4 linked regions of the Xenopus tropicalis genome follow. The protein of the gene in region 2 interacts with the protein of the main gene of each other region in a biochemical or structural test. Links are inferred from orthologs where the notes say so. Each region holds a gene or a part of one and is shown on either strand. Other genes may lie near its edges. The genes, in order: skp1, nfkbia, ikbkb and ikbkg.

Region 1 (8,105 bases), on a different chromosome or scaffold from region 2:
TTTCTACTACTCCCATGTAACTGGAGGAGTCCCAAGCCAGACTTAAGCTGGCCATACACGCACCGATAATATCGTACGAAACCTTGCATGCAGTTTACCAATGCCCACACTATTATGCATCACATTGGTAAATCAGTATCAAATTATGGCTTTTTTTTCTAGACGCTAGCGCATATATGCACCACAGAGGTCTGCCTGTCATGATGCGCTTTCCCCAGAGCCCCTATTATCAGAAGTCAGTTGTAGGTATACAAACAAGGTTAGTTTATTAAATGTCAATTGTAATTACTGAGCCATTAATTACACTTAGACACGTCAATTACAAACAGCTCAATTCTATTATCAGAAATAAAATCTCAGATCCTCTAGAAAAACACAGGTGGGCGTATATTAAGTGTTTTACTACTTAAATTCCATAGCCATCACTAACACCAGGTCTATCATAAAACTGTTTTTCTGTGCTGCCCAATAAAATATTATCCTTAAACACTCTCTACCATAATGACAACGCATTTCACTGACAGCCTGACTATTACGCATGATTCCCGCCCATAAGCACGCTTGTTGCTAGGCGAGAACACTTCAACCTACAACGCCTACCTACTATTGGAACACTCGGATTGGATCTTGCCCTATGACGAATGCAACGGCTCAGCATGTAATTGGTGAATTCTTCGGCAGCCTGAGACGCTGTCAAATGCTCTATTTTTCCATTGGTCCGAAGAATGTGACGTAAGGCGTGCATTGAAATTGTCCCACCCTACAGCGCCATACCGTATTAGTGTCGTGGTGGGTGGAGCGCTTCGGCCGGCTGCTGCTGAAGACCCCCGGAGGTTTGTTTTGCTGCTTCGGTGGACATATATTACAAGGTAAGTTGCCAGTAGATGTACATGTGCTTTCCAGCCCTGTAGTTATTATATAGGAGCGTGTATATGCCGGGCGGCCATAGTTTTCGGCGGCGTCATTTCTAGGCCGCAAAGGCTGCTGTGTGAAGGCCCTGTCTGTGTTGTGTTGGAGGCCGCGTTGTGCGGCATATTCAAGTTCCTACATTACCCCGGCCCTTACCGGCTACCGTCCATTTCTTCTTTACTCACAGGTTTCCTATTAGCATCTCCCTCTATTTCTCGCTGTTGTTTATCCCCGGGTTCCAGACCCCCCCCTCCCCCTTCATTTGGAAATTACGACCAGGAACTCCGGAGGGCAGAGGGTTACTTTGCGGGAAACTAGAACTATAGTTTTCCTTTGTTGTTTTTTTTTTAAAAGATATTATCCATTTTACTGTGATTTTCTAATTTGTAGTTTATAGGCTATTAAACTTTGCAGATATCCCTCATCAGTCTCAAACAAGCGCTTTCTGCTTTCAACAACTTTAAAAAATGTGTGCGGGCTCATTAGCTTTCCTGTTGAGTGTTACTTGGCTACAGCACAGGGGCTCGCTTTTAATTGGTGGGGGGATGTCAGCTGACCGCTGCAGGGATACCCATGCTCATGGGATGAAATCATTACATTTACCTGCAGTGCATAATGGTTTCACCCATCATGTTGTCCTTGGGATTCCATCCTGAACTACTGTATTGAAAATCACTTACCCCCCCTTAATGACTGGCACAGAATACAGGTATCAGGAGTCATGCCTATCAACTTAACTGGGGCCAAGATGGCCCCAAGAGTGTGGTTTCTGATGTCTGCATTCCCTTGCAGGTGATTGGTAGCTTCCTTTGTAGCAAAAACTGCAGTTCCTGTAAAATAATTGGTTATATATAATAATTGATGATTTCCTTTAGTCTTCTAGTCAAAACATACAGACCCTAGGCAGTGAAATCTAAAGTTGCCCAATCATTTGCTTGTGCAGCTACCTTTGATCATGACACAGCTGGAGGAAAACATGCCGGTCACTGCTTGAGCTATGAGCTTTTGTGGTGACATGCAGGTTTCAGACCAAAGATATTGATATTCTCAATATATAGAGAGATACAGAGAGAGAGAGAGATACAGAGAGAGAGAGAGATACAGAGAGAGAGAGAGATACAGAGAGAGAGAGAGATAGATATAGGTATAGATATAGGACATTAAGACATTCTGTGCATTAAGCTACTAAGAAATGACCTCCCCTTTTAGCAATATACTGAAAGCTGGCCAACTATGCCAAATTTAATTCCCGTACTGACTTTTATATTATTTATTAAGTATTTTACTGCTTCATTATACATTAGTACGCAGGGACTGATTTTTACCTGCAGTTTACTTCCTTTTAGTGCAAAAAAATTGTTGCACTTTTTATTGGCCACCATTGAGATCAACAGACTGTAGCTGGGAATGGTGAAGGCTACAATATGTAGAGTGCCTGAAAAAGTATATGAAAAACTTTTCAGTCAACTATTGTCTTAACACCTGCTGACCCAGCCCATCCATACCCAAACAAAATTAGATATATATTCGGCAGGGTTGAAAATCCTACATGGCAAAGACTGCATTGTCACTTTGATGCCATTCTCGTCTGACAAGTCCATGTAGGCTGGACCCACTCCTTATAAACCATTATATTTGTTATAATAAATTAAACAGTATATTTGTTTACCTGGGCACAGTGGACTCTCACATGGAACTTGTAGGGGATCAGTCACCGTTTTGAAATATCCACTATTATAGAGCAAAAGGAAATTGGTCAAACAATAATAAAATGGCATTTCCAAAAGCTTTCTTGATAATGAGTCTCCTTAATCTAGATCCCATACCTGTAAGATTAAAAATGTGCTTAACTACACAATTAAGATTTCAAGTACACTCTGTCCCCTCTAAGATATTTAATAACCAGTCCTCTTTTTAACAGAATATGGTAATTCCTATTGCCTTGTGCTGTTAGTCACTCTGCTCTGTATGTTGCTGTCTAGGCCAAACTTCTGTTATTTTAATTCATAAAGCCTTTGTTTAAAATGAGGCTGAGTGAAAAGCATGGCTCAGGGATAGCAAATGTCCTCTCTGTAATTGGCTGTATGTCAACTATTGATGTACAGATTCTTTTTCTGGGCAGGATGGGCAAATGGCCTCTAATGCAGATTTGGAGCTTGGCAATTGCCATTATCCTGGCTGCTATTGGCAAAGTCATACTGCAGCAGTAAAATGACACCCTTTGTTGGTAATTACTTTGTTCTGCTTCCATAGTTATACCTGCTCAGTAAGTCTTTCCCACATCATATATGCCAGAGACACTTTCCCTTTGTGTACTGCGTGCACACTAATGGTGGCCAGTGTTAACAAGGGTTCATCCATCTCCAGCTGTCCAGCCATTTGCAGTCGGCTGTTAAAGGAGCAGTGCCAGGTTGACAGCTGTTAGAATTTAGTGCATTTTCCCAATTCCTGCACAGCTCTCTGAAAATTGCAGAGTACCGGTAATTGCACATTCCGGATGAGACCCAAAGCTTTTAGCTCCTTATTCTCTTCCTGGTAGTGGAGGGCAGGGTGCTGGCAACAGTTGGCAGGCCCCTTCTTATTCCTACTAGCTGCAGCTTCTTCCCTTTGCTCATTAGGCCGTGCCAGACCACTGTATATTGCACAGTTGGTGTGGGTCTTGGGCAGAGACTGAAGCAACCAGGCACCAGGGCTGTTGTATAGATGATTATTTTTATTGGCCCTGCCTTACTGACAACCAGGGCATGAAACATGATGTTTGCATTTCATTAAAGCAGAAGGAAAGGTATAGTCACTGGGGGGGTGGTTGCCATGTTAGCCACTCTGTGATTCTACTTGCCTACAATGGCCTGCAGTGCACTTGCTGTGCTTGCTGCCATTTTGTTCCCATGTCTCTCCTGCTCACCATGCTTAAATGTGCTTCAGTGCAGCATCTTGAGTTTCACAGCTGCCTTCCTGATCATCTCTCATTGAAAGTACCAATTGATTTTCTTTCTGTTTTGCTTGCAGTAACTTCACTAAGCAGTACTGTTTGTGTTGATTAATGTGTTTTTGTTTTTCAGATGCCTTCTATAAAGCTGCAGAGTTCTGATGGAGAGATTTTTGAAGTGGATGTTGAAATTGCAAAGCAGTCAGTAACAATTAAAACTATGTTGGAAGGTACTTTTTAAAAAAAAATTCTTTGAATATGTATTCTTTATAATTTTGTCCTCTGGTGTGCAGGTCTTCATTTGTTTTTATTCTCCTAGCTTTGAAAGTGTTGGTGTAAAGGCACATTGGGCAATTGAGTGGATTCTCTCCAAAAGCAATCCCTTTACAGAAACAATATTGCTGGGAATTTTTCTTCTATGTAGCATTTGCATGACCTTTGAGTGCACCTGGGTGAACAGACATTTGCAATTGAAATGTCAGGGGTAATTCCAATCATTTTGTCATCCACTTTCAAATTGGGAAATTTCTTGGGTTTGTGGAGGATTATCTTTTTAGGTAGTAGCTCCTTTTACACTGATAAGAGACAGGTACACAGGGTACTTTAGAAAACATTGTTTGTACAATCCAGGATTTGGAAATGATGGAATAAGGGCTTTTTATTAAAAAAAAAAAAAGTTTTGGTGCTGTTCACTACATAACAGGTACACAGCGTTTCAAACTACTCATAACAGCAGTGATCCCAATATAACAAATAAGTAGCAGTCTTGCTGAAAAAAAATTGTCCTCAGAGGAACTGGTTGTAATATTTCTGTTGTGTTTAAATTTATTTTGTGTAAATTCTTGAGAAATCTCTTATTTGACTATAGTTTTAGAACATTGCCTTTCTGTCTAAATTATCTTGGGTTTTTTTTTACATTTTTTTGGCAAGACACAGTTATCAATTAAATGTTTTTAAACAGATCTGGGTATGGATGATGAAGGTGATGATGACCCTGTGCCACTTCCCAATGTTAATGCTGCAATCCTTAAAAAAGTAAGTGCTATTTAGGTAGTGGTTTTACGTATACCCATACTAGAATACTGGATGCAGATTAGAGATTGTTTTTTTTTTTTTTAGAGGTGTTGGTTTGCTGCAGGGATATAATGCAATGTAATTAGGACAAAAAAATTGTACCAGATTCAGAATTGTGTTAATTAAAAAGTTGCAACAGCCTCCCCCCCCCCTACACACACACACACACACACATTATTTATATTTGCTTATCACTGCCAGAAGAAGAACTACTTATAAATGCCAGGGTTTTAAGGCATATTGGCAAGTAAAAAAATAAAACTGAACTATTGGTTATTAGGAACTTCATCCTGCTGTTTGGGGTTTCATATTCTTGAGTTATGATGTATACTGTTTCAGACCTAGAAACACTTGCTCTCTAATTCAGGCAGTAGAGGACATTGCTCCTATTTTTGGTTTAGCTCTTCAAGTGTAGGTTGTTACAAGATTTACTTTTTTTTTTTTTTTTTTTTTTACTAGCTTGAATTATATTAACATATAAACAACAAAATGATGAAATTGAACATATCTTAAGTTTAGCAGTACCACATTGTCTTGGATTCAGGACCTGGCCAACAAATGCAGTCAGTTGTATAAATCATAAAGATAAATACCTATGTACTTTTATTTTCATCAGGTCATTCAGTGGTGTACACATCATAAAGATGATCCCCCTCCACCCGAAGACGATGAAAACAAAGAGAAGAGAACAGATGATATCCCTGTGTGGGACCAAGAGTTTTTAAAAGTGGATCAGGGAACACTATTTGAACTGATTTTGGTGAGGCATGCTCACCAAAAAACCCAACAGCTTTTATAGAACCCATTAGAATTACATAAGTGTATTTCTAGTACTTGTACTTAGTAGTATTAATAACCTTAAAGGGAACCTGCAACTTAAAGTACCACACAGTCTGAAGGTATTGCACACACAACACAGCCTGAAGGTAGTGCACACACAACACAGCCAGTAATTATTTGTGTTTTTGTCCGAAAGAGGTAGGAGAGTTGATATTTAAAAACCTTGCCATTAACATGTTCCAACAAAGTGTGCTTGTTCTCCTGCACTTGAGAGGTAAGGGTGAGCCCACATATATGAAACGTTGTGCATAATTTTGTCCTTAGTGGCTTCAATAAAGGCATCCACATGGCATCTGCATGTTGCTTCTGAGCAATATAGTTTTAACACACATAATTTTATTCATACATTAAAACGTGGCTGCCATTTTACTTGTTAACACATAACACAACAGTTACTAGAAATTTATACACTAATTCATAAAAGATTTTTAAAAATTTACATACACATGTCCATATATTCCTCAGTCAGCATAGATTTAACTTCCAAACTGAAAATGGCTGAAACTATTTTTTTTTTTTTCATCTCAATCCTATATACATAAATTACACTTGCATATTCATATGTAGTGCTTATACGCCACTTAAAGCACGTATGATAACTTTTCCTCATAAAATACCCTTCATTAATTTAGAGCGAGTCCAAAAAGAGCTACTATTTCATTAATATCCATTTAAGGATTTGAGACCAATACTGCACTGCATATTCTAGATGGGGCCTTTGCCAGTGTTTTCTAAAGTGGGAATATGTACTTCCCCTCTGAGTCTGTATACCTTGCTGGCTCTTCCTTCCGCTGACTGGCATTGCTTGCTAAAGCTAAGTTTATTTTCCACAAGTCACCCCAGCTCCTTGCATATTTTGGAATGCCACTTAGCAGGCCAGTCTCCCAGTTTGTCCAGTTCCTCCTAAAGGATGCTACATTCTTGGTGGCACTGATTGAGCTGCATAACTTTTGTGTCATTGTCATAAACATATATTGCTTCTAAGCCAATTCATAAGCTTTTCTGCAGTCTATTGGTACCATATCAAATACAAGGGAGTGTGAGCAAATCAGGGGTGGGTTTGAGTTCTTGCTGGTCAAAAAAAAATTGGGGGCTGGTTTGATTTTGCTTTTTTTTTTTTTTTTTTTTATCTTCAGGCTGCCAACTATTTGGATATCAAAGGATTGCTTGATGTCACCTGCAAGACAGTTGCAAACATGATTAAAGGAAAAACGCCAGAAGAAATTCGAAAGACCTTCAACATCAAAAACGACTTTACTGAGGAGGAAGAAGCTCAGGTATATATTTATACGCTTAAGTTTATTTCCTTTTACAAGTGTGTCAGCCAATATCTCCACTCCAACAAGAGTATTTATTAATGAACCTCTTTTATGCTATTTTCCTTTTAGGTACGCAAAGAGAATCAGTGGTGTGAAGAAAAGTGAAGTTGCATACCTGTTACCACTGTAACACTGTACAAGTCGTTCCAAATCAACTAGTTGCACTGCTCTGTTTATACTAGACAATTCAGCAGCTTAAATTAGCAGGAGGATGTTTTGCTGCATGTGTTGTGTCTGACATTTTTTTTTTTTTTTCTTATTGAGTAATTCAGATCTTCAAGCCGTGTTTTAACCATTGTAATCTTGTGTGATATTTCCTTTAAAACAATAATAAACCTGTTAGCTGCGTGCTTTGAAGATGAAAGATGGCATCACAGTAGTCTACTCCTGTTCTTGCAGAACTGTGTTTTGACAGAACTTTACATTTCCTAGATTTTGGCTTCTCTGACAAGGCAACTTCAGCAGCAAATCACAATGTGTGCTGTTTTGTGTGTATGGCAAAATAATCTGCCTGGAACATGTATGTGACAGACTCTTCTCTGTTTAGTGTAATTGGCCACTCAGGCAGTTATGAGGTTGTGAATTTTTGTTTTTATATAAAGTTCACCTTCTATGCATACAGACACTGATTTCATACTTTAACGAACGTGTCTCAAGTTCATGTGCGAGTATTTATCTTGTGTGGTGTCCCAGCTCTGAATGTCACAGGGAGACTTTAGTGGTTTACCTTTCCCTCTAAAAGCTTAGAGAGGTAGCATGATTTACATTTCCTTAGTGCAATAGATGCTCAAGCATAGTTTTGAGACAATTCCTTGGTTGCTTTTCTGTGCAAGAGAAGACTGTAGCACTGCTAAACATTTACTGCAACAAAGAGCTAAATAGGTTAGTGCAAGAGCCCATTTGTTAAGTCATATTTCTTTTTCTGTTCTCTCACATCCTTAATAGGAGCGGAAAGGTATAATTATTGGGAAGTGCAAAAATGTTATTTACTCCCCCCCCCCCCCCCCCCCCCCCCCCCATTGATTATAATTGCT
Region 2 (8,166 bases):
TTTGAACTTGGTGGAGAGAGCACAAAAATATGGCACTAAGTGCAAATGAAATGTGACATTCTGACAGCACTGAATGGGTTAAATACAATCCATCCATGACTATCCAACTGCTTGTCAGCGCGCACACAAGGTGTATTTTGGGCAGAAAATCATACTTTCTGTGAATGAAATGTATCCCATATGCCCACTTGCAGGTTGATGCTATTACTGTAACTACTTACTTCCATGGGAAGTATTGGAAAGGATTGACTGTCATGAAGAAGTCCAAATCAGATAAAGATTGAGAACTGTACTGTTTTGATTGGGATAATAGATTGCCAAAGCATCAGTGCAGTAACCCATAGCAACCAATAAGCAGTTAGCTTTCATTAGTGCATCTTGCACTGTTGAAATAATAAAACAAACTGTGTGACTAGTCACCATATTGTGATAGATTTGGAAATCTGCCACTGATCTAATTGAGGTGTAAATAATGTATTCTATTACAAATGAAACCACTAAGACCCTTGAAGGGGGTGGTTTATTATAACTTGTTATTTGGCACTTAAAAAAATCAATACTTATCTATCTGCAATACTGCAATCTATCCTGCAGTTTCAAATGTGCCCAGCAGGGACCTTTGAAGAAGAATTAGATATCAGGGGATCTCCTGTTAAACCCAACGTGTTGCCAAATTACTGCTGGGATTTTTTTAAAGTGGCCAAACTTCAGTAAAATCCCCGTGTCCTATTAACGTGCTGCAATCTGTGAATCACATAATTTCACTTTCCGATGTTATGCCCCATTAAGTACATTTGCTGGAGGAAAGTTAAGTTCTTTAGGGGGAACATCAGAGGTACTTTTACACTGCACAGAGTCATACATGGCATTACCAAAAGCAGCAGAGGAGAACTACAGCTTCTATTAGGCTTTGCCAGCCGTACTGGAACTGGCATGTTTATTAAGATAGAAGGATCTGTCGGTTAGTCCTAGAATCTGTCCTCCACCTGCAAATTCCCTAAGCAGCTTTATCTAAAGTCCCTGATTGAAAGTGAGGTTTAATGAGCTTTAAGGAACGTTATATCTGCATACCAAATCCTAATCATGGGGAAATCCCAGTCACTGGGCAGTAATATAACAAAGACATTCTGTGTTTTGCATAACAAAGGCAAAACAATCCAAGCACCCAAACCCAAAGTCTGATGCCAAATTTCAGTACTGTATAGGGTGCACTAAGCTGTTAATATGTTACTACAGATTTTGTTTACAATATTTTAATATGGACAGATATGTATGACTATAAGTAAGTGGGCACTACAGCAGAATCTATACCACTATATAGCCCAACACCAAAAGCCACCAGAAAGATTATAGGGTTCATCACAGCCCTGGATGCAAGTACAAGAGCAATAAGGGACACAAAACTCCTTCTTGGTCATGGGGTTTGCAGTATTTAGGGGAGTTTTGGCACCAAATGCCGCCCCAATGTGGCCTAAGGGATGCTGCACCTACTCTCTTAAGGGTATATTTATTATACTGTGTAAGCCAACATTCGATATTCGGTGTATGTATAGTGGATCGACGAAGTGACCAATATCACAAAAAACCTTGGATATTGGTCGTCTTGCCAATCGGGCAGGGTAAAATATTTTGATCGGGCACTGTTGAAGCGCCTGAGCATAAGCATACGTTAAGGGCTGAATCGTCAAATAGGGGTAGAATTCTTATTGTTTTTGCCAATGGTCGCAGGAAGGTTGATAACTGTAACGTGTATGGCCACCTTAACTTGTAGGTGACCATTAAAATCTAATTGCTTATTAAATGCTATATGCAACATCACAGCTGATTTTGGCTTACACACTATAATATATATGCCCCTTGTGTCAGGGGGGCACATCCAGCACCGGATTTCTAAATGACGCGCCCCGAGGCCGCCCCCATTTGGCGCCCCCTACCCGCCGTGCGAGCGCGCATGCGCAAACCACCTCCTCCTCCCCTGCCGCCGCGCTAATGCGCATGCGCCAAAGTTAAAACTCCCATACAGAGCAGTGGGGAGAGGTCCCCATTGCTCCGTATGGGAGCAAAATTTTGAAATTTGCGTGCGGCGGGGCAGCATGCCGCCCCTATGTTTATGCCGCCCTAGGCCCGGGCCTGGGCACATCACTAGTGCAGAGCGCACAATAGTATAGTCAAAGTATTCCATGATGTTTTTGGTTTACTACTTTTATTCCCACACAAGAATTACGGACAGATAACCTTCGGCAAATGGCAATTAAGTTATTTCACCTAAGCAAGGTACCTGAAACTATTATCGTTATAAAAATAATAACTATTAAATTCATACAATCTCATTTCATCCCAACAATAATGCACAAAGGGGCTTATGTTTTTTTTAAAGCAAATGCAAACTGCAATTAGGATTGCCACCTGGAGGTTATTATACTGGCCTGACCAGTTAAAATACTGCAATATCCCAATGTTAACTGGGTAGAGAGATGAAAATTTAGGAAGACCTGTATTTCTTTCCAGTGGGAAAGCCTTACTACAATGCACAAAAGAGTGCAAAATTCCATGTTTCACCCACAATGCAACGTTATTCCCCAGAATCCCAGTGTAATCTTGCTGCTTATGACGCAATTTTTGCAGCCTTTTGGGGAACATTGCGCGAAAGTTGCATTGTTTGTAAACCCCTCGTTTCTGGAAGTTGCTGAAATAAAACAAAATGGCATTAGCATCAATCATTAGGTGCAAGTCGGTTGTGTGTGTGGGTTAAGGTGCAAAATGCAAATGGCTCCCCGGACGTTGAGCTCTTATGTATTTAGCATAATATCAATAGTCTGTCAGACGAAGGTATATTTAACGCATATAAATGCCGAGTATGATGTGGGGAACTAATGTGTATTTTTGCCCGAATCCCCCCAGTGTGTCCCAGGAATGGTGAGTGTGCTGAGAGGAATGTACATGGAGTAGCTGCGCACGTCTGAAAAAAGGGAATTTCTGAGCCTTGTACATATTTCTGCGCTCTTCCTTTTATTGTACCACAGAACTGGCTCCGTCAGGTTCATTGTGTTCCTATACTGACTTATTCTTGGAATTTCCCAGAGTACATAATAGTTCACAAGTAGGAAACTGAGCTCGGCTCCACCCAGAAAAAACCCCGGCTGTATATGTAAAAGTAGCCTGCTGGGGGAGGGAGCTGCCAGATCGCTACCAGAAGTCGCTCTGATCGGATGGGATTAGTATAGAGGAGGCTACAGCTACAGAACTTCACTATCGCAACTGGGATTCTACAGTGTCTTCTAAGCTATTTTGCGGGGAAGCTCAACAACCGGCCGCCGCCATGTCTGTGCCTTTTCACGATTACCAAGGGAATATGATGGAGGGAGAAGCTAGGGATCTCCGGAAGGACAAACTGCTGCAGGACGATCGCATTGATAGCGGCCTGGACTCCCTGAAGGAGGAGGAATACACGGCTATCATTACTGACCTCAGCAACATGAGAATGGAGGGCCCGCCGGACACATCGAACTATGAGCCGGAGCCATGGAAGAAAGAGGTCAACGAAGATGGAGACACGTAAGTGATAGAGAATGGGTTCGTTATATGGCTGGGGATTGTGCTCAGTATCTACTGATATTGTATAGGGGCGATGAACCTTAGTATTAGTACATCTAAAACCATTACATCTGCCTTGCACAGTGTATATACTGATAAAGGGATAGTACTCTATAGTGCTGCACTAATATATATATATATATAACAGGGACACCTAGGTTTGGGGCAGTGTTTAGTGTAGGATATGTAGATATTTACTAATGCATGACTTCTTTATGGTGAATGCACAGTTAGGTGCATGGGGCAGGCTACACTGCATAACACTGCAATTTATTGTGCAGCTTTTTCATGCAACCATAAACATGCAGTATTAGTAAGTTGTGCAAATAGTTAAAAACCCTTGTGCTTTTAATGCTTTTTTTATATCATGCATTGGTATTTGCAAGCATGCAGCAACGCCGGGCAGCTGTTAGATGGCTTGGTGCATGTTTGTTCTTGGTAGGGGAATTTTTTTGTTGGTGCAGAAGAGACGCCATATCTGTCTGGGTTTTCCCTTCTTCGTGTGAGCTGGAGGGAGGGGGGGTGGGAGGACACCTTGTTCTCTGACTTGCTGCCTCAGAGGGGTGGGGGCTGGCAGGCACCCAGGGGCAGGACTCTGGCTTTGGAAAGTCCCTGGCCAGTAGCCAGGAACACAACTGCACACACACACACTCTCACACTCACAGCAGAAAGCGGAAAACAACAGACAGATCTAGAGAAGAAAAAATCCCCAGACTTACACAATTGCATAGTTGGCTGGGGGAGGGGGAAGTACACACTTGTGTCACCACTGACTAGTATTGCAGCTCACCGACATGCCGCTATGATGAAATAGGTTCATTATGAATTATTATTTCCTATTGCTTGGCAGTTTCTAAATTTATGAAGTTTTATTCACCTCGATCTTTCCCACACACTGAACCTTAACACCACTTCACTTACTGGTTCCCAAAGGGGAGGGGGGGGTACATTTTCTACTTCTGAATGATGAAATAGTAAATACAGAAATGACATTTTGTAATAAGATGCTAAGATTGGAAAGCTAGTTTGTCATTTCCCATAAACCTGCTAGTTCATCTTTTCTTTTTTTATGGTTAAATGACACAAATTTGCTTCTCTATTTTAACATGTCCTTTTTATGTTCCCTTCTAGGTTTCTCCATTTGGCAATTATCCATGAAGAGAAAACCCTGGTGAAGGAGGCAATCCAACGTTCATACAGGGACCATTTTTACCTGAACAAGCAGAATAATCTGCACCAGGTAATTTACTTTTTATTTTTTTTCTAAACCTTGTAAAAACTTTATTTCTAGATTAGCTTGTCATGTGCCACCATTGTCGGTTAGGGCAGGGCTGTCCAACTGGAGGCCCGTGGGCCGGATGTGGCCCTCCAAAGGAATTTTAACATATAAAGTATAATAGAGGGCCAGTTTGTGGAATAATTGACCTATGACATGTAAGTTGGCCAGCACTTAAAATATTAATAGTCAGTGCACTCATAGCATGTTCATGAGGGATAGAATATAGTACAAGCTTATTCTGCAAGTTCAATTTTGTGTTTAATGAGAATGAATTTACTGATTTTTCTTTTTTTTTTTAATGTCTTTTCTGCAGACAGCACTACATCTGGCAGTAATCACCGAACAACAAGACATCAGCCAGTCACTTCTCCAGGCTGGTTGTGATCCAGAAATCCAAGACTTCTGTGGCAACACCGCCTTGCACATTGCCTGCAAGCAGGGCTCGCTTCGGGGAGTTGGGGTCATTTTCCAGTATTGTGAGAAACAACTGCCAGCACTTCTGCAATCTGTGAACTATGATGGTATGTATCAAACTTAATCTATAAACCTTTAGACGTGTGTTGTTGTGCTACTTGGCAAATTAGAATTAGAACTGCCTTGCTAATATCTTTCTTTCCGATGCAGGTCACACGTGCCTCCACCTGGCATCGATCCATGGCTATCTTGCAATTGTGGAAAATCTCATTAATAAGGGGGCTGATATAAATGCCCAGGTCAGTATTCCCCCTACTTCACTTGGCTACATACTGATGTTTCTTCCTGCCATGTCTATTGGATTCAATTTTGCCTCTAGATCTAAGAGAAATTTCTGTTTCCCTCACCACAGGAGCCTTGCAATGGTCGCACTGTGCTGCATATGGCCGTGGACCTGCAGAACTACGACCTGATGAAACTGCTGCTTAAGCACGGAGCAGATGTAAACAGAGTCACGTACCAAGGCTACTCTCCGTGCCAGCTCACATGGGGCAGAAATAACATGCTGATTCAACAACAGCTGGTTGAAGTGACACACAAGAATTTGCAGTACCTTCCAGAGAGTGAAGAGGAAGACAGTTCTGACTCCGAATATGAATATAATGATGATGAGGTGAGACCTAGAGACGAGTTCATCATAGTAATGGCATGGGAATGAATGGCAGTTAAACCAGTTTCAAGCACATGTAATAATTAGCCTAATGTTAAAGAATTTTTAATAATCTGTTGGGTTGTGCAGGCCCTAGCAGTTTGGGCAGCTAAAATAAAATAAAGCATTTAGGGTGAGGCAGGGATGAGATTTGGCAGGGGCTACGGAGACTGATAAAACCATAAACCCATCCATTTTTAGATTAGTGATCATCTTCTTCCTTTTAAGTTAGAAAAAAGTGGGTTCAGTAGCAACCCCTGAGTTATGTTTTGGTCCAACATGTAACTCTCTTGCAATAAAGTTGTCGCTTAATAAGGTTTATGTATAACAATTTTTGGCTCTAAATAGTTTTCTTTCTCTCTTTTGTCTAACAGCTTATGTATGACGACTGCATCATAGGGGGGAGGCCGCTGCATTAGACTGCTGTGTGTGAACTAAAAAAAAGAAACTATAAGGACAGACTCTCATTACTAGAGGACAGCACTGGAGCCAGTGACTTCGGGGTAGAAAAGGATCCTCTGAAAGTTGAGGCGTGGAGGTGCTTGTGCTGTTCCATGGTGACCGATGTTCTACACGAGAAGCTTCCTGTGTTACATATCCTGCCGCATCAAGACCACAGCTATGAATTAAAGAGCTTATTCCTTGAGCAGATAAAGAGAGGATGCTGCAGAAGGAACTCTAATCTGTCATTAACATCATTGTGAGGCAGGGCGACCAATACCATGATACTGACAATGCCCTTCAATGCCAACATGAAATAAATGGCTCATAAATACACTGTGTTGAGGACCTGACTAATTATAGCCAGAGAGCAGATTGTTAAAATAAACTACACACTGTATATAGTGTAAATAAAGTACAGAGATTATTTTTATATGCAAAGTTTATATTTTATATAAAAAAAAGAAAAGAAAAAAAATAAATAAATAATTGTTTCCAAATCTACTCTGCAGATTATTTTTTTTTCCTGCTCCCATCCAAGACTCAAAGAACAGAAAACTTGATATCTTTACTAGGATAATAGGCTCAAAGTAAAATCTTGTGGAATAAAAATAAGATCTACTGAGCAAGGCCCACTTTACCTCTTATAAATGTGCAACCTCCTGCCTGTAGGAGTTGCAGTACTTTCTAGGCCTTTTTTAAGATGTAGCACCCCACCCCCACCCTTTGGAGGTCTTTGCATTGGTCAGGGCTGCCTTAGCTACTTCCAAGGTTAAAGCTATTGAAAAACACTGGTATTTTTAATTCATTGTTCCAAAAATATCAAGCACATAAGATCTAAAAACTCTCTCCTAATCTCAACCAACTTGACCTTTAACCTTTCAGGTGTATCTAAGAATCAAATAGGCATTCCCCCAATTATACCTGGCCTTACCCTACCGCTGCTTCAAGCCCACTTAAGGGTGCCAGCCCCAAGTTTGGGAATCACTATTCTATATGATATTTGGAAGGGAATCTCTTTTAGCGTAGAAAGAGTTGTCTCACCTTAATGTTGCTGGATAAACTTCAGTATAATCCTGGATAATCCTATATATTATCAAGGCCAAAAGCATTTGGAGACAGTATTCCAGAAACATAAGTCTTGAATGCTCTGTGTGGGTCTTAATGGCACTCCTCTGTGTATCCTGTGTTATTCAAAAAACATAAGGGATGGAACCTCAAGCAATACTATCTGGTAACAGGTTCCTAAAGTCTACAGGGCCAGTGGTTCTTGGGATGACATCTCAATATCTTTAAATAGCCTTTGGCAATGGTTCCCAAATTGTAGGGCTGGCTTCTATAGGCTGACCCAATCCTTGGCTGCAGGGAACCCAGCCTAAAGGCCAATTAGGGTAAGACTTGGATAGCTATTGATCTTCTACACACACCCTAAAAGACCAGATTGAAGGTCACTTGAGAGATTTAGGTGAACGTTTATTTGCTGCCTTAGATGTTATTGAAACTGAATGAAGTAATGTTTTCCAATACCTGTCACTTTATTATGTGCCATGATCCATTGCTGGATTTCAAATGGGGACTAGAACCAGAAAATTCTGAAACCACTACAAAAATGCAGTGAAAGTGTTTTGGAGTGAACACATCTAGGGTTATATTTATTAACACAGAAGACAAACATAACTGCTGATGTTGCCCAAGGCAACCAATCAGCACTTAGATTTGAACAGTCACA
Region 3 (7,371 bases), on a different chromosome or scaffold from region 2:
ATAACTAGTAGATAAGCCCCATATAATGGGGGTTTATCTGTTATCTGCTAAGTAACCTGTGCCTTTTCTCCTTTGAATGACTGCCCCCATGGCTACACAGCAGCTAACTTATATAAACTATAGTAGTCTTTCTGAGGCAAACACACCAGTTGTAGCAATGCAGGGCAACAGTACATAACATTGTTGTTACTTTTATACTTTCATTTTTTGGTGTTACTCTTCCTTAAGCTAACTCTTATTGCTCTCCCAGAAGAAAAACAGCCCATGGTATCCTGCTATAACAGATCCATGTCTATTGCCTGCAACGTGTCTTGTGGAGCACCTGAGTGCTTAAATTGTCTGACTTGTCTCCTGGATTTTTAAGTTAAGAATCAAAAAGTATTTGTGGTATAAATATGCCATGGAGTCAGTACAGGTACCCTGCTCCAACAGAGACCACATCAGGGAGGGAAGGCAGGAAGGGTTATATGATAATTTTATGTTATCCCTGAGTTATTCTGAATGCAGCTAGGTGCCAGTGATGGCTAAATTACCCTTTAAAGGAGCAGTTCCGTGTATGTAGCTCTGCAAAAGCAAAAGTCACTGACTTAGAGGTTAGAGAGCTGAAAGTAGAGTTCTGGCCATTATGTTAGACATCTGTCCACTCTAGCCTTTATAGATTACATTTTTGCCTGACTAACTACATAAGAAATATTTTTTATTTTGCGCAGTCTGTTTTACCCAGTTTAATTTTTACTCCGAGCAGTTTATTGAAGGTGTTTGTTGTAAAATCATGTGATCTGCTGCAACATATTGGCTCCCTGCTTGATTAAAGTTGTTCTGTGCATTCTCTCTGCACAATTCTTGTGCTCCGGCATTCAACGGGTACCTAGTTTAGGTAATCCCTTGTACTATGTACAGTCCAGCAGGGATACCTGACAGCAGAGTGGCCCCTAAGGGGGTATATGTTACTGGTGAGATTATAAAATACATATAAACAGAAAGGCAATATTCATTTGGGTGATAGTCTCCCTTTAAAATGTCCTTCTTCTCAGAACACAAGAACAGCATCAATCTCCACAGGATACAAATTGAATTTTACTAAAATATATTAAACCCAAGCATATAAATTCTAATAAAGACCAATCATATTTCCTGATTTAAATTATTCTTTACTGTGTAAAATTATTCCAGTTTTTCCTTACTTCTTACCATATTGAATTGGATAGCTATGTTACCAAAGTTGTTAACAAGTTATTTAAAAAAAAATTGTTTATGTATAAAGAGATTATAAAAAAAAAGTCCTTCCACTGTTCCATTATGTATGTGATTATTTTTTTAATTCCATCTTGTTTCTTTTCTCCTATATATCCCATTCATCCTCACTTCAGTTTACCTCGTCCTACCATCTCTTCTGTATACCCAAGGGCTGCACTTACCTTTTCTTCACATACTCTTGGGCTAGACTGGCAGAGAGGGCAGGAGGCTGGGAAAGCAGTTGGCTTGGGCCAGGCATTCGAGATGTGCCCAAGCTATCTGGGCTACCACTCACAGGGCCACGGACTTTGCTCTGTGGGGATCAGTAACACAGAGGATGTATAAATAACAGTTTGTGCACCACAGAGCCTAATTCCTATTTAATTCTGGTAAGAGCTCAAAGGCACACAGTCATGAAAACAGTGGGTTTCAGACTGGATCACTGACGGCTATAATCTGATGACGAAGCTTGTCTATAACAAGATAATCAACACAATAAACAATTATGTAGCACACAGAGGATCCGATTCATAAACATAGGTGCTAATTGCACCAGAGCAGTTACCCATAGCATCAAATTAGCAATTAGTCTTCTGCAAGTTAGCCTACAAAACCAAAGATTGGTTGTTCTGTGTAACTGCAACACAGATTTGTTTTAATTGTATTTGGCCAGGGAATGTCTATTCTAACACTACTCCATTACCCAATGTGTGAGCATAAGGTTCCCGTGGTCTTGTAATATATATATATATACATACACACACACTGCTTACACAAGCAATCTTTAGCAGGTTCCACAGCTCCTGCTGTCTCTTCTCTTGCCTCTTTACCACCATTTTTTCATCTTCTCTCATTAGGTTCATCACCTCTTTCACCTTTGGGGATAGTTCTAGGGCTTTGTGCTTGCACGCCACAGTCTTACTGCAGGCAGATGGGAAAGGAGTCAGTAAAGCCGGCATGAAATCATGGAGATGAGAAGGATAAAAGGGAGCTGCCACAGACCTGAGTTGGTCATATATAAGGATGACTCTCTTCTCGAAGCTCTGGATGGCTTGAATTAGGAGGCGCACCATTTCATTGCTGTCTCCTGCTGTCCTTTGATCTACAGGTAAAAAAAATACATTGGTGCTGGGTTCCTAGAAATAAATTTACGTTTACGTTTAGAGCAAGTCAGATCTTCTCGGTAAGTCCAATATCCTTACTACATGTCACATGGAGTTGAGCATGTTGAAACTACACTTCCTGAGTAACTAGCAGGTAGCCTAAATACCATGATAAATTAACAGAGTCAGGTTTCTGGTGCTAAACCGCAAGAAGGGTTATCTAGCCCATCGTATTCCCGTCATATTTAGTAATACAGACTCTTTGGCCCTAGAGCCAAATACAACTAGTAAGGGGATTATTTACCCATATTTGCAACAATAACTGCTTACCTCTAGGTCTCTCCCGTAACCGCCGATATAAATCTTTAGCCTGTTCTTCTCTGGCAATAAAAGTAGAAAACAATGTTTTATTTAGACCGTCATAGAGAACAGCCAACCCCCAACACAATTTACAGAACACTTCATATGATGACATGAAAGTACAATGGCTGAACAGTTTCCACCTCACTCACAGGTCATCCAGTGTCCCTCGGTGTTTCCTGCCTAATGGATTTCTCTGCAGATCTACACTGTCTGTTTGTAAAGCCATCATTTTATCCACAAGAGCCTGCACTTCCCTCTCCTACAAAAGAACAAAAATGTAAAGAACTTAAAACAAAGGAAAATCCAACACACAGTGGTTGAAAAGGTAGGTAACCTTGTTTCGCAGCAATGAGCAATTGATTTCTGGGCTTCTCTCTTGCCTTATGATCTGGCAGGGGGTAAAAGTTGGGGTCTGACATTAAGAGCTGACTGGGGTTTACTACTACACTGATCTCCAGGAAGCTCAATAAGAACTCTCTTTAGGTTCCAAAGCTAAAGCCCTCCTTTACCCCATAAAGATCAATGCAATGGGATATACTGCATTTTGGGAAAAGAGCAGCCCATAACCAAACAACCTGGATACATTTAAACAATGCAGACTGCGGATATTTGGGTGCATTTGTAATTAGACCAAATTTGTAATTACAATACACAAGCCCAAACCGCAAATGGTTGCTATGGGGGAAAAAAGCAGTGCACTGGTTTTGCCCACGGTGCCCCTTTAAGTAATGGAGCCCGAGACCCTAGGGTACATATATTCACATAGCACGTTTAATTTATGGAGTGGGCTTTCGAGTATCATTATCCCATTTCATCTCATTCCTTACCCTGCCGCACAGTTCCACTGTTTGCTCCGTCTCTCTCCAGGCTGACAGGAGCTTTTCAGAAGCTGCGAGAAAGAAACATTGTTCATATCATTAACAGGTAATGTAAAGGTGAACGGCTCCTTTAATAGATATCATTGATGATAAGGTGATGTGTGTGAAGTAGGAACCCATATAAAGGCTCAAAATACAAGGGCTAGACCCTGGCCTACTAAGTCTCATCCTGCAGACTGTATGGCTAAAAGCAACAGTAATAAAGAGAAATTTGCTCTTTTATGAATATGCTATTTCACAATAGTAACACTGCATGGTGCAGATTTTGCCCTGTTCACATTTCACAAGTTCAATATATAAAAACTGGCATTTCTAGACATATTCATTTTTAGGGTTTAGTTCTCCTTTAAATCTGCATATAACAGAACGGGTACCTTCCGTATCCTAAGCAGAGCTTTAATTTTATCTTAATGCTGTAAACTAAGAGGCCATAGTTTGATATGCACAGATCATTCCTCTGTGTAAAACTGTATTTATACAGAAGACTGGAAGCTCCCATACTGCTTGCTGTTAATACAGAAAGCCATTTATGATGACTATGAATGCTGTTTAGTGGTTGTCTAAAGAAAAAAAAAAAAAGCTGTGCATAATAACAGTGTGTCAGAGGTTACAGCAAAGTCAATAAATCACTATAGTTCTCTTTACTAAGCAATAAAAGTCGACAGAGGGCCCAGCCAGTAACTTACTGATTCCAAACTCCATCTGTTCACTGTATTTTTCTAGATCAATCTGGATACTGTTCCGGAAGAAATCCAGTTTGGCCTTTAGCTGCTCAAACTCAGAAGTCATGAGGTTCTTCTTTTTGGAAAGTTCAGTATTGTATCGCAGCAGGTTTACCCTACATAACATAGAGATATGCCCTCAGCACTTATGCATAATACATGGAGAAACACACATCTGCCACACATACTGTCTGTCCCACCCACACGCAGAGCTCTCATACTCACATAAAGGTACGCTGCCCATGAAGCAGACGGGCACAATCCTCTTTCATCGCTCGTATTGTCTGCCAGGTCTGCCCCCACACGCGGCGAAGGTGGGTGTAAGTGAGGGGCCGCTTGGGATCCTGCACTGGAATAGAATTAAGTGCCACAGTGTCACATCACCATCAACAAACCACAAACCTCAGGATTAGACAGATGTATAAACCCTGAAGGCATAGGCAAACGTCTGAGTCCTCAGGCAAGAGGAATATACATATACATGTATATCCCTTGCCATTACAAGCCAAATATCAGTGGCACTCACATATAACGGTGACACTCTCGGGATGTGCCGGCAGTGATATCTGGGGCTCATATACAGTCTTCCGGTTATCAAATAGAAATATCAGATCACCCTCGCCCTGGCGCCCATCATTGACCTGTAGACAAAAGCAAATAAGACACTTATTGATTAAAATAATTCCAGTTTATAGACAACAAAGATATTGGCCTATGACCCTCAAGCAGTTACAACTCCCACCAGCAGCCAGCATCTTATATGGCAAGGTCAGATCTAGAATGCAAGAACAACTGCAGGTGGAATGAACTAGAACAGTTGAGGGTTTTACTACACTTGCTGTACTGAAAGTAATATGAATATTTGAATCTGTATATTGCACTTAAGAGCTGTAATTAAGCAGTGAAACATATGCCTATATGGTCACTCTCTGAAGTCAAAAAGACAATGGTTTTCCTTTCATTAACAGTTCCACCAGATACTGTGACCTGCAAAGAAAGGCTGCTTACAGAAATATAATTTAAAGTTGCATTTTAAGTTGAACCACACTAGCCTTGTGTCACATGACACAAAACATTTTTTTTGCCATATTTGTGCTTTCATAATGTCATTTTGCGGTGAGCATGAGAAGACTCTTACCGTGCAGTCTACCACAAACTGGGTTAGAGGCTGGGCAGGATTAAGGGCCAATCCTGATGCCTGCAATAGTTCCTGCTCTTCCTCAGGAATCCCTGTGTCTTGCTCCAGGCGACTCTTCAGATTCTGCAGGTTTTCATTCTCTGACACCGGGTAAGTGTGCACCTTGCCAGACACCATGTTCAGTACAGACAACAGCTGGGGGGATATATACACATGTACATCAATATATCAGCAATAACATATATGTTTATAAAAACCTGTGATATATATCCTTATAAGTAGTGCTTAGTGAGGTTATCATATATAAATCACCCATAGCCCATTGAAACGTGTATTAAAAAATAAGCAATCCCCTGCTTCAACATTTAGGAACATTAGAAACCACCTTACATGGTCTGTGGTCCTTATATCTTAAGAGAGGGTGTTGTATAAACATATATGCAGGTCTATCCTGTTGGTTCTGGTGCTTTTCTTGAAACTTTGGGGCAGTTCTCTCATCCAGAGTATCTGCCTTCACCTTTTTTGCTGTTTATTGCTGGGTGGTACGTATAGGTTTGATTTTTGTTTTGATATTGTGTACATATCTTATGAATGTTGAATTATTGTTATACAATAATTTTATATAAAGCTTTTCAACTGCAATACCACCTTTGTATGGCTCTTTTTAGTGTGCAACATCTTTATGTGGTTTATATCAATGCCATTTAATTTACCAGACATCTGGTGGATCCTTCACACATTGGGAACTTGCAGGGGACAGAGTAACTTAATTGTATTCATTTAGACCTTGGCCTACCCACTGTATGTAATTGACACTGGAAAGACTGCTTGGGAGGTGTAAAGGCTATGAAGATAGAAGCTGGACCTAACCACTACTAGTCCTGTGAAGTGATGCCTTTACCCCAGGGGTGATTCCTGTGTCTCTGGAATGTATTCAGAGAAAGTACACCCTTATCTTTAACTGATATATGAAAGTAGAGAATGATAAAAAATAAAACCATATATAGAATGACAAGGCTAAAACAGAAAACAAGAAACAGAAGAAAGGACATGACAGCAGACATATTGATTTCCCACCAAAAAATTACAGATTCTGTGTTGTGTTCTTTACTGTAAATGTTGCTTGTACACCCAAAGCTTCATACCGACACTTACCTTAAGGCTTAGGATGGAATCCAAGGCCTGGAAACAACCAACATTAGGGTTCTGTGGATCTGTGCCTCTCTGTCTCTGGTGCCACATTAGCATGCATTGTAGCCAGTGTTCCAACTTGCCAGCCAGCTTGCTAAAACAAAAGAAATATTTAATTCCAATTTATTGCATGTGCAAGTAGCGAACATCTTGAGCTAGACAGCCTGCCACAAACTTGAAACATGGACTAATATGGTCTGACAGTTGTAAGGCTCTGGGATTCATCATAGAGCTAAATTGAAAACCAGTATTTTTGACACCCAATCAAGCCAATGATCATATCACACGGTGAGTCACTCAGACTCATTAAGGTATTGATTAGGCAAACTACAGTCATCTTGCAACCAAGAGCCTCATTGCCATGGATGTTGTCCACAGAATATTCAACTGTGTCAAAATGATATCTGCCCACATTTATGTATCAAACAGTATGTATGGGTATTGTTTTGGGCTCTAACACAAGCCAATGGGCTGGCTCAACTGGGCACTTTAAGACTAGAACAAAACTAAGCTAAACTATAAACATCCAATGAGAATTTTGGTACCTGTTCAGTATGAAACCAAATGAGACTGATTTATCTAGACATGATCAAAAGAAAGTGGTAGACAATTGGCACCCTACAGTAGCAATACATGGCACCGTGACACAGGTATAAACTGAATACTGCTGACAACATGGCTCAACATTTGCCATGGTTTATGTTTTTACATACTCTGAACAAGATAAAAGGTTGGATTGG
Region 4 (7,371 bases), about 84 Mb from region 2:
GGGGGCCCAGGGGACACATCCCTGGGGAAGCCTGAAGTTCTTCCTCCTGAACTGACCAGTAACGAAGCCTTTCAACGTATATGGGCAGAAAACCATGACCTGAGAGGTTAGTAGCCAAGGACTTCCCTGCTTTGAGTGTACTGGTAAGTGTAATCAAATTCTGGGATATGGTGTCCTTCAGAACTTCCAGTCTGATATATATATATATATATATATATATATATATATATATATATATATATATATATATATGTATATATATATATATATGTATATATATGTAAGATGCCTGCCTGGTTGCTAAGGTTATTTGAACCATAGCAACTAGATTGCTGTTGAAATTCCACACTGCAGAGCTGCTGAACAAAAAGCTAAATAATTCAAAAACTGCAGGGAAAAAGTGAAGACCAATTGTGAATTGTCTCAGAATATCAAGCTCTACTTCATACTACATGTTTATTTTAAGGGGAACAACCCCTTCAAACATGAGAAAAGATAAGTAGTAATAGTATTCTATATGTATATAGCACTGATATATGCCAAGCTCTAATGCTGGGGGGGGTAGCCCAGCAGGATCAGGGGGCCTGAAGTTAGGGAACAAGGCTCTATGCAAATGTGGTTGTTAAAGCCCTACTAGAACTTGAATGGCAGCCCTCGTGGCTAAGGGGTATATTTATCATGTTGTGTAAAAAGTAGAGTAAGACATTACAGGTGATGTTGCTCATAGCAGCCAATCAGATGCTTTGCTACTGTTAAAATCTAATTGCTTAATGGTTGCCCTGGGCAACATCACCGGTAATGCTTCACTCCACTTTTTACACAGCATGATAGGCCAATACACTTAGGGGTATATTTATCTGTATAATCTATATCAGTGCTGTTCAACTTGAGGATCACAGGCTAGATGTAACTCTCCAAAGGATTTTTATGGCCCCACAGGCACTACTTAATGACATCATCATTTTAATTTAACCTGCCCCCTCCCCCCAACATGCTGTAGGAGATATGACTGACCCACTACATGTAATAAACTGGACAGCAGTGGCCTATATGATGCAAACACACAGTTGTTACCAATGGAAGGTAAGGTAACTGTATCATGCATTTAAATGCATACAGAATTAAATTATTGGCACTACTGTCCCTTTATGTTGTCACTGCTAGGGTAAGTAAGTAATCATAGTTCTTATGTGCCTTAAATGGCTGGTTCTCTCATTAAAACCACTGCCTGGTTGCTAAGGTAAACAAGACCATAGCAACCAGATAGCTGCTGAATTGTCAAACTCGAGAGCTGCAGAACAAAAAGCTAAATAACTGGAAAACCACAAACAACAAAAAAAGGAAAAACCAATTGCAAATTGCCTCAGAATATCAACGTCTACATCATGTTTAAAGTTAATTTTAAAGGTGAACAACCCCTTTAAGTGAATTTCTTTATCATTTGTCCCCCCGCCTTCACGACAGCTGCTCTAGAACAGAGCAACATGATGTTACGCAAAGGACATGGCGACATGCTGGAGTTTCAGGATTCGCAGAGAAAGGAGAGAGAGTTCATCACATACAAGTTTGGTGAGGCGCGGGACCTGGTGCTGAGGCTTACCAATGAGCGAAACTCCCTGCAGGCGCAGCTGGAGGAAGCCATGAAGCAGCTGGCAGAGGTGAGAGAAGAGAAGAGTCGAGGGAGCACAGAGAATGAGCAGGGGCGGCTGGAGGATACCATTCTGACTGACCGAAGATCCCCAAGGAAAGCGTATGAGGAACAGGTACTTACTGCTCTCACTGGTAACTGAATATCTATTAATCTAACTCTTACATTTCTATGGAGTACACTGAAACCCATACACCATTTATTATACTTTTTCCTGAAGCTTCGATCTAGGGCTAAAGTGGCAGAATGTATGGAGGAGGATCAAGCTACAGTATAGCAGCCGCTGAAGGCAGGCAGTAGACTGGCCAGTAACTTCCTGGCTACCCTGCCGATGGCCTGGGTTGCACATTAAAATCTTTTATGGTGCAATATAGGGTTGGCCTTTTCTATGTGCACAGCTGCCCCCGCCCGGGGGTTAGAAGTTTCCCTAGCAACATAAAGTTGCCACAGAGAGAAATACTCAGAAATTTCTAGTTACACCGCTGCATTACCTTGTCCTGCTAGACCCATAGATTCTCATGCCAGCTAGACTCATAATGCACTGGGAGAGTGAAGGAAGATTGCATAACAGTACTCTGATGGAAAGTTCCCTGGGCTAGTGTGTTTTTTTTTTTTTTTTTTTTTTTTTTTAAGAAGTGGAGCACTGGCCTGGGGTAGAAAGGAAGAGACTTTAGTCATCAGGCACCAACCACCCCCCCCCCCCCCACACCCTTTTTATCTATTGGGCATTCTCTTGTTACTTTCTATAGCAGTGATTTCCCAACCAGTGGCTCACAAGCAACAAAACCGCCAAACAGAGCCTCCTGTAGGCTGCCAGTTTGCATAGGGGATACCACTAGACAATCACAACCCATGTTTGGTACCCCTGGAACTTTTTGCTTGCATGTGTTGCTCTCCAGCTTTTGTAACATTAGAATGTTGCTCACTGGTGAAAAAAGTTGGGGACCCCGATCTATAGGATTTCTCCCTTTGCATTTGGATCCATCCGAGACAGCTAGGCTCATCACATACTCTGCCCAGTTAGAAAGTTTGCTCTGCCTGACTCCTCGGCTTGGCCCCTGTGTGACTGCTCCGCTGTGTCTGTCGTTAGGATTACGCCACCCCAGGGAGCTCTTTGTCCTCATGTGAAACACTGACCCACAGTATCTGTGAAACAATCAGGCAGACTGTGCCAGATGAAGAGGGGCCATCCCGAAACAAGCAGGTGAGATACACAGACCTCTGATCACTTCTATTTTCCCGCCCTGCATTTGTTCAAGTACAGGGATTAAGGTGATGGTCCTGATTGGTTGACAAGTAGAGGCCTGTTGTACTTTGATTTAATTGGTGTCCTGCAGTTAAAATCATGAAAACACATTTTTTTTTTATAAGAGCCCCATCATTGTTTAACAACTTTCCAGAGACCTGGTCCCATGGTTTATCATTATTCTCTTTCACTTTCTACAGAAAGAAAATGGCAACAAGGAAGTTTGTATGGAAAATGAAATCATGCAAGGAACTGTGGACCGGTGAGCCTGACGTAAAAAATGTAACAAGTTGCTATGTGTATGAACTGGCAAAGCAGTTTATAAATTGTGTGTTTATTCCAGGAACTCTAGAACTGAGCAGGAATTCCAGAAGAAACTGCAGGACGCTGAAGCCAGGTGGGTAGCTACATGTAGTTACATAGGGTTGAAAAAAGACCAGGGTCCATCAAGTTCAACCCTTCTAAGTAAACCCAGCAACACACAAACCCATACTGACCTGTCTTTATACTCGCATACATAAACCATATATACCAACATAAATACTAACTGTAGATATTAGTATCACAATAGCCTTGGGTACTATGCTTGTCCAAGAACTCATCCAGGCCCCTCTTAAAAGCATTAACAGAATCTGCCATTACCACATCTGTAGGAAGGGCATTCCCCAACCTCACTGCCCTCAGCATGAAAAACCACCTACTGTGCCTCTGGTGCACTGATGGTTTTTATGGGAAAAAGAACATTACCTATCTGCCTGTAATCCCCTCTAATGTACTTGTACAGAGTAATCATATCCCCTCGCAAGCGCCTTTTTCCATGTATAATATAAGGGACATCGTACACTGGTTTGCTCACAGGCTGCACTGTAAATATATCTTCCCAATGCAGGAATACTCAGTTTCTGCGTCAGATTGCAGATCTACAAGAGGAAGTATCTAAGCTTAGGCGCCAGGTGGTTGAAAAAGGAGAGGAATCTCAAAAGCAACTGCAAAGTTTGCAACTGCAGATGGAGGTGAGAATTCTACAGTGTTATTCAGGCCTAAACAGGCAATCTGTGGATTCAGGCAAATGCCAGAGGGGCTGCTGTAAGATGCCATAGACATTCACTATTTATTGGGCCTGGGGGGGCTGTTTGGGTCTCTGTGTACTTTAAATTCCAGGGCCTATTTTGAACCCCAGTCTGGGCCTGGTGGTATTACAGTCATGATATATGTACAGGTACCATGTGAGAATAATATAATGGGTTATACTGTTTCAAAGATGTTACGATGAAACTATTACAACTGTAAATGATTAATTTATTTTTGTTTGAACCTAATTTGGGTCCCCTGAGAAAAAGAATAAGAAACACTGGTTTAGGGACATGATCTGCAGCCAGAATGATGAAAAAAAATAATTTGTTTTTATATATGGTTGTCCAGCTGGCATTCCATGGGCCAGCTGCAAGTTTCCAAGGTATTTTTTGCCCCCCAGCCTCATAAACATCAGTATCAGATCCTCTGCTCTATATACAGTATTAGGATTGATATAATTATGTTATAGGTAAATGTCATATTAAGCAGAATTAACAATATCTTGGTTTTGATCTTGCAGCAACTGTCTGAGGAGAGGAATTCAGTAAAAGCCCAGGTGACCTCTCTATTGGGGGAGCTGAAAGAGAGTCAGACAAGTCTGGAGATCTGCCTGCAGGAAAAGAGAAAGGTAGAGGACAGGTTAGTACCCCATGGGAAACAGTGATGGATGCCTGCGTTGGTCACCCAGGAGAAGAGGATGGGTCAAAAAATCTAGGGCAATGTCTTTTGAAAGTATAAGTAAAACTTTTAAAATTAGTTGATGTAAAAATGATGAGATGAATTTTGTAATTTACATGTTATTTTTTTCCCAATATATTGAGGGTTAAAAGTACTGTTAATATGAATGCAGTTTTTAAACAGCACCACCTGCTGGTCACTTTCCAAACATGAAGTAGTTTTAGTGCTTAGAATAGCATTCTCATCAAATTTACATCAACTTATTTAAAAGGTTTACTTATCCGTTAAACTGTTGCTCATGCGTACTTGAGCCGGACTTGATTCAACCCTGTGGCACTGACCATTCATGCCTCTTGGTTGGCCCTCTCTATGGTGCCATTTCTGTCTCATGCTGAGAAGGCACTGTAACCAGAAAAAGGTGTCACTGTCCCTTTAAATTTAGCAGTGCTGTGCAGGTTACCCTGGTGCATAATGTGAGAATGGTTTGCTCCATAGGAGATGTGATTGGTCTATACTCTTGGAAACAGCTTGTGTGTGCCAAGTGTTTGATTTCTCTTTGCAGCCTCCGTAGTGCCCTGGAGGAGAAAAAGGGCTGGGAAGCCCAAGTGAAGCAACAGGTTGTGCAGCTTGATCAGCGAATGATGCAAGTACAGAATTTGGAAACAGCGTTAAAAATGGAAAGACAAAATGCCACAGACGAGAAGTAAGAGTCAGGATTGTTAGCTATTGCTTCAGGGTTATCAGCTAGCATGGAGGGTTAGTAGCTGTCCTGGTTATAAGATCCCATGGGGGTCATTAGGGGTTCAACTAACTGGGGATCTTAAGCTACCCTGGCCTGGGTTGCTGCCTTTTTAGCAAGTGAAAAAATGCAGCGCTACATATTAAAGGGGTTGTTCACCTTTTGAATTAACATTTAGTATGGTGTAGTGCAATAATCCCCAACCAGTGGCTCGTGAGCAACATGTTGCTCACCAACCCCCTGGATGTTGCTCCGAGTGCCCCCAAACCAGGTGGCAAGTTTTGGTTGAATAAAAACAAGACTTTCTACCAAATAAAGCCTCCTATAAGCTCAGGGTGTGCATAGAGACTACCTAATAGCCAATCTTAGCCCTTTTTGGCATGTCCATTAACTTTTATGATGCTTGTATTGCTCTCAATCTTTTTACATTTGACTTTCGCTCACGAGTAAGAAAGGTTGGGGACCCCTGTCGTTTAGAGTGATATTCTCAAACGATTTGCATTTGATCTTAATTTTTTATTTAGCAGTTTTTGAATTAACACCTTTTGTTCAGCCGCTTTCTGGTTGCTAGGGTCAAATTTAACCTAGCAACCAGGCAGTGGTTTGAAAGGAAGGCATGAATATGATAGAGGGTCTACATAGAAAGATAAGTAATAAAAAGTAAAAAAATAATAAAATTGTAGTCTCACAGAGTAGTTGTTTTTTGGCTAATGAATAGGCCTTTCTATAATATACTAAAAGTATAGTACTAAAAGTAGACGGGGATTGGTCCAGTTGCTGTTTGAGTCAGGTTTAAGAATTTATCCCTCTTCTAAGGCCAACTGTAGACTGCTTCATAGGGGGCTGTTTTTCTTTCAAAAATGATTGTAATCACTTACCTGATATGCCTGGCCGATGCGCTTTTAGCAGAAAACTGCACTGAACTGGAGTACCTGCGAGTGAGCGATCCTCCTAAGCGCTCAGTAGTCATAATCTGGCTTAGATATGGGTGCACAGAGGATTTTGCCTGGCCTGGTTCAAAGGATACTGCTATCACAAGCTGGCCTAGTTATGCCTAGGAGCTGGTTTAGTTATAAGCTGGCCCCATTATAAGCATGCTGGGAACTTAGAGGCCAACCTAGTTTGTTTCATTTGGCTGCTCAGCAGCTGCCTGGGTGGGTGGGCATCCTCCTAACTTTACTCTCCCAACAGGAGGAAACTGGCACAGCTTCAGGTTGCATATCACACGCTCTTCCAGGAATATGACACACATATCAAGGTCAGCATGCAGCAAGCCAAGCACACCAAGGTAGGTTGCACTGCAGGCCTGGCTAGCACCATGCATAGACTGAAAAAGTTAATAGAGGTTATTACTTAGATACTACCATATAACCATCATTGCCACTAGTTATACTCCATAGACAGATTCTTGCCTGGAGAAGGAAATATTTAGGTACACAAGAGATGGAAAATTTCTGCTGGAAGAAGCCTCAGGCAGTCAATATTCATTGAACCTGTAGGGGGCTGTATGGGTCTCTGCTTCTGCTATATGTGTAAACCAATCCCCAGGTAACTTAATGTTACTGAGTAAAGTTCTGCTATGTGTCACAAAACCCCTATGAGCCCAGCAGCAGCTCATGGTGTAAAGAATGCAAAGGAAATTAAAACAGCAGATCTTAAAGGGGAATTATAACTAACTGTAGTCAATGGTTAATAACTCAGAACAATTAAAGGTGTTGTTCTCCTTAAAATTAACTTAGTATGATGTAAGGGTGCTATACTGAGATGTTTTGCAATTGGCCTTTTTTTTATTATTTGCATTGTTTGAATTATTTAGCTTTTTGTACAGCAGCTCTGGAATTTCAGCAGCTGTCTGGTTGCTAGGGCCCAATTTAATCTAGCAACCAGGCAGTGGTTTAATGAATAGTGGAGGGCCTAATTAGAAATAAAAAGTAAAAAAAAAAAGACAATTATAGCTTTGCAGAGCAATATTGTTTGGCTGTTGGG

What was found.
Region 1: the proteins of nfkbia (region 2) and skp1 form a complex in vitro, tested with the Homo sapiens proteins (3 studies listed by BioGRID, with this or other methods). The link is inferred for Xenopus tropicalis from reciprocal best matches to the Homo sapiens genes NFKBIA and SKP1.
Region 3: of the proteins of nfkbia (region 2) and ikbkb, one has a biochemical effect on the other in vitro, tested with the Homo sapiens proteins (58 studies listed by BioGRID and IntAct, with this or other methods). The link is inferred for Xenopus tropicalis from reciprocal best matches to the Homo sapiens genes NFKBIA and IKBKB.
Region 4: of the proteins of nfkbia (region 2) and ikbkg, one has a biochemical effect on the other in vitro, tested with the Homo sapiens proteins (15 studies listed by BioGRID and IntAct). The link is inferred for Xenopus tropicalis from reciprocal best matches to the Homo sapiens genes NFKBIA and IKBKG.

Annotation. Positions count from the first base shown.
Region 1 is NC_030679.2:26,564,918-26,573,022, forward strand, and holds skp1 (S-phase kinase-associated protein 1), read left to right. Parts: upstream 1-3,969; 5' UTR 3,970-3,971; coding exon 3,972-4,068; intron 4,069-4,799; coding exon 4,800-4,873; intron 4,874-5,528; coding exon 5,529-5,672; intron 5,673-6,888; coding exon 6,889-7,029; intron 7,030-7,140; coding exon 7,141-7,176; 3' UTR 7,177-7,435; downstream 7,436-8,105. UniProt on the Homo sapiens protein: Essential component of the SCF (SKP1-CUL1-F-box protein) ubiquitin ligase complex, which mediates the ubiquitination of proteins involved in cell cycle progression, signal transduction and transcription.
Region 2 is NC_030684.2:109,509,728-109,517,893, reverse strand, and holds nfkbia (NF-kappa-B inhibitor alpha), read left to right. Parts: upstream 1-3,199; 5' UTR 3,200-3,319; coding exon 3,320-3,555; intron 3,556-4,725; coding exon 4,726-4,834; intron 4,835-5,186; coding exon 5,187-5,394; intron 5,395-5,497; coding exon 5,498-5,586; intron 5,587-5,699; coding exon 5,700-5,960; intron 5,961-6,370; coding exon 6,371-6,415; 3' UTR 6,416-6,937; downstream 6,938-8,166. UniProt on the Homo sapiens protein: Inhibits the activity of dimeric NF-kappa-B/REL complexes by trapping REL (RELA/p65 and NFKB1/p50) dimers in the cytoplasm by masking their nuclear localization signals.
Region 3 is NC_030679.2:130,603,371-130,610,741, reverse strand, and holds part of ikbkb (inhibitor of nuclear factor kappa-B kinase subunit beta), read right to left. Parts: intron 6,726-7,371; coding exon 6,596-6,725; intron 5,636-6,595; coding exon 5,441-5,635; intron 4,944-5,440; coding exon 4,829-4,943; intron 4,652-4,828; coding exon 4,528-4,651; intron 4,419-4,527; coding exon 4,267-4,418; intron 3,592-4,266; coding exon 3,530-3,591; intron 2,962-3,529; coding exon 2,852-2,961; intron 2,720-2,851; coding exon 2,670-2,719; intron 2,339-2,669; coding exon 2,239-2,338; intron 2,158-2,238; coding exon 2,010-2,157; intron 1,550-2,009; coding exon 1,419-1,549; intron 1-1,418.
Region 4 is NC_030684.2:25,690,772-25,698,142, forward strand, and holds part of ikbkg (NF-kappa-B essential modulator), read left to right. Parts: coding exon 1-106; intron 107-1,464; coding exon 1,465-1,763; intron 1,764-2,738; coding exon 2,739-2,852; intron 2,853-3,094; coding exon 3,095-3,156; intron 3,157-3,237; coding exon 3,238-3,291; intron 3,292-3,783; coding exon 3,784-3,907; intron 3,908-4,488; coding exon 4,489-4,607; intron 4,608-5,208; coding exon 5,209-5,349; intron 5,350-6,576; coding exon 6,577-6,673; intron 6,674-7,371. UniProt on the Homo sapiens protein: Regulatory subunit of the IKK core complex which phosphorylates inhibitors of NF-kappa-B thus leading to the dissociation of the inhibitor/NF-kappa-B complex and ultimately the degradation of the inhibitor.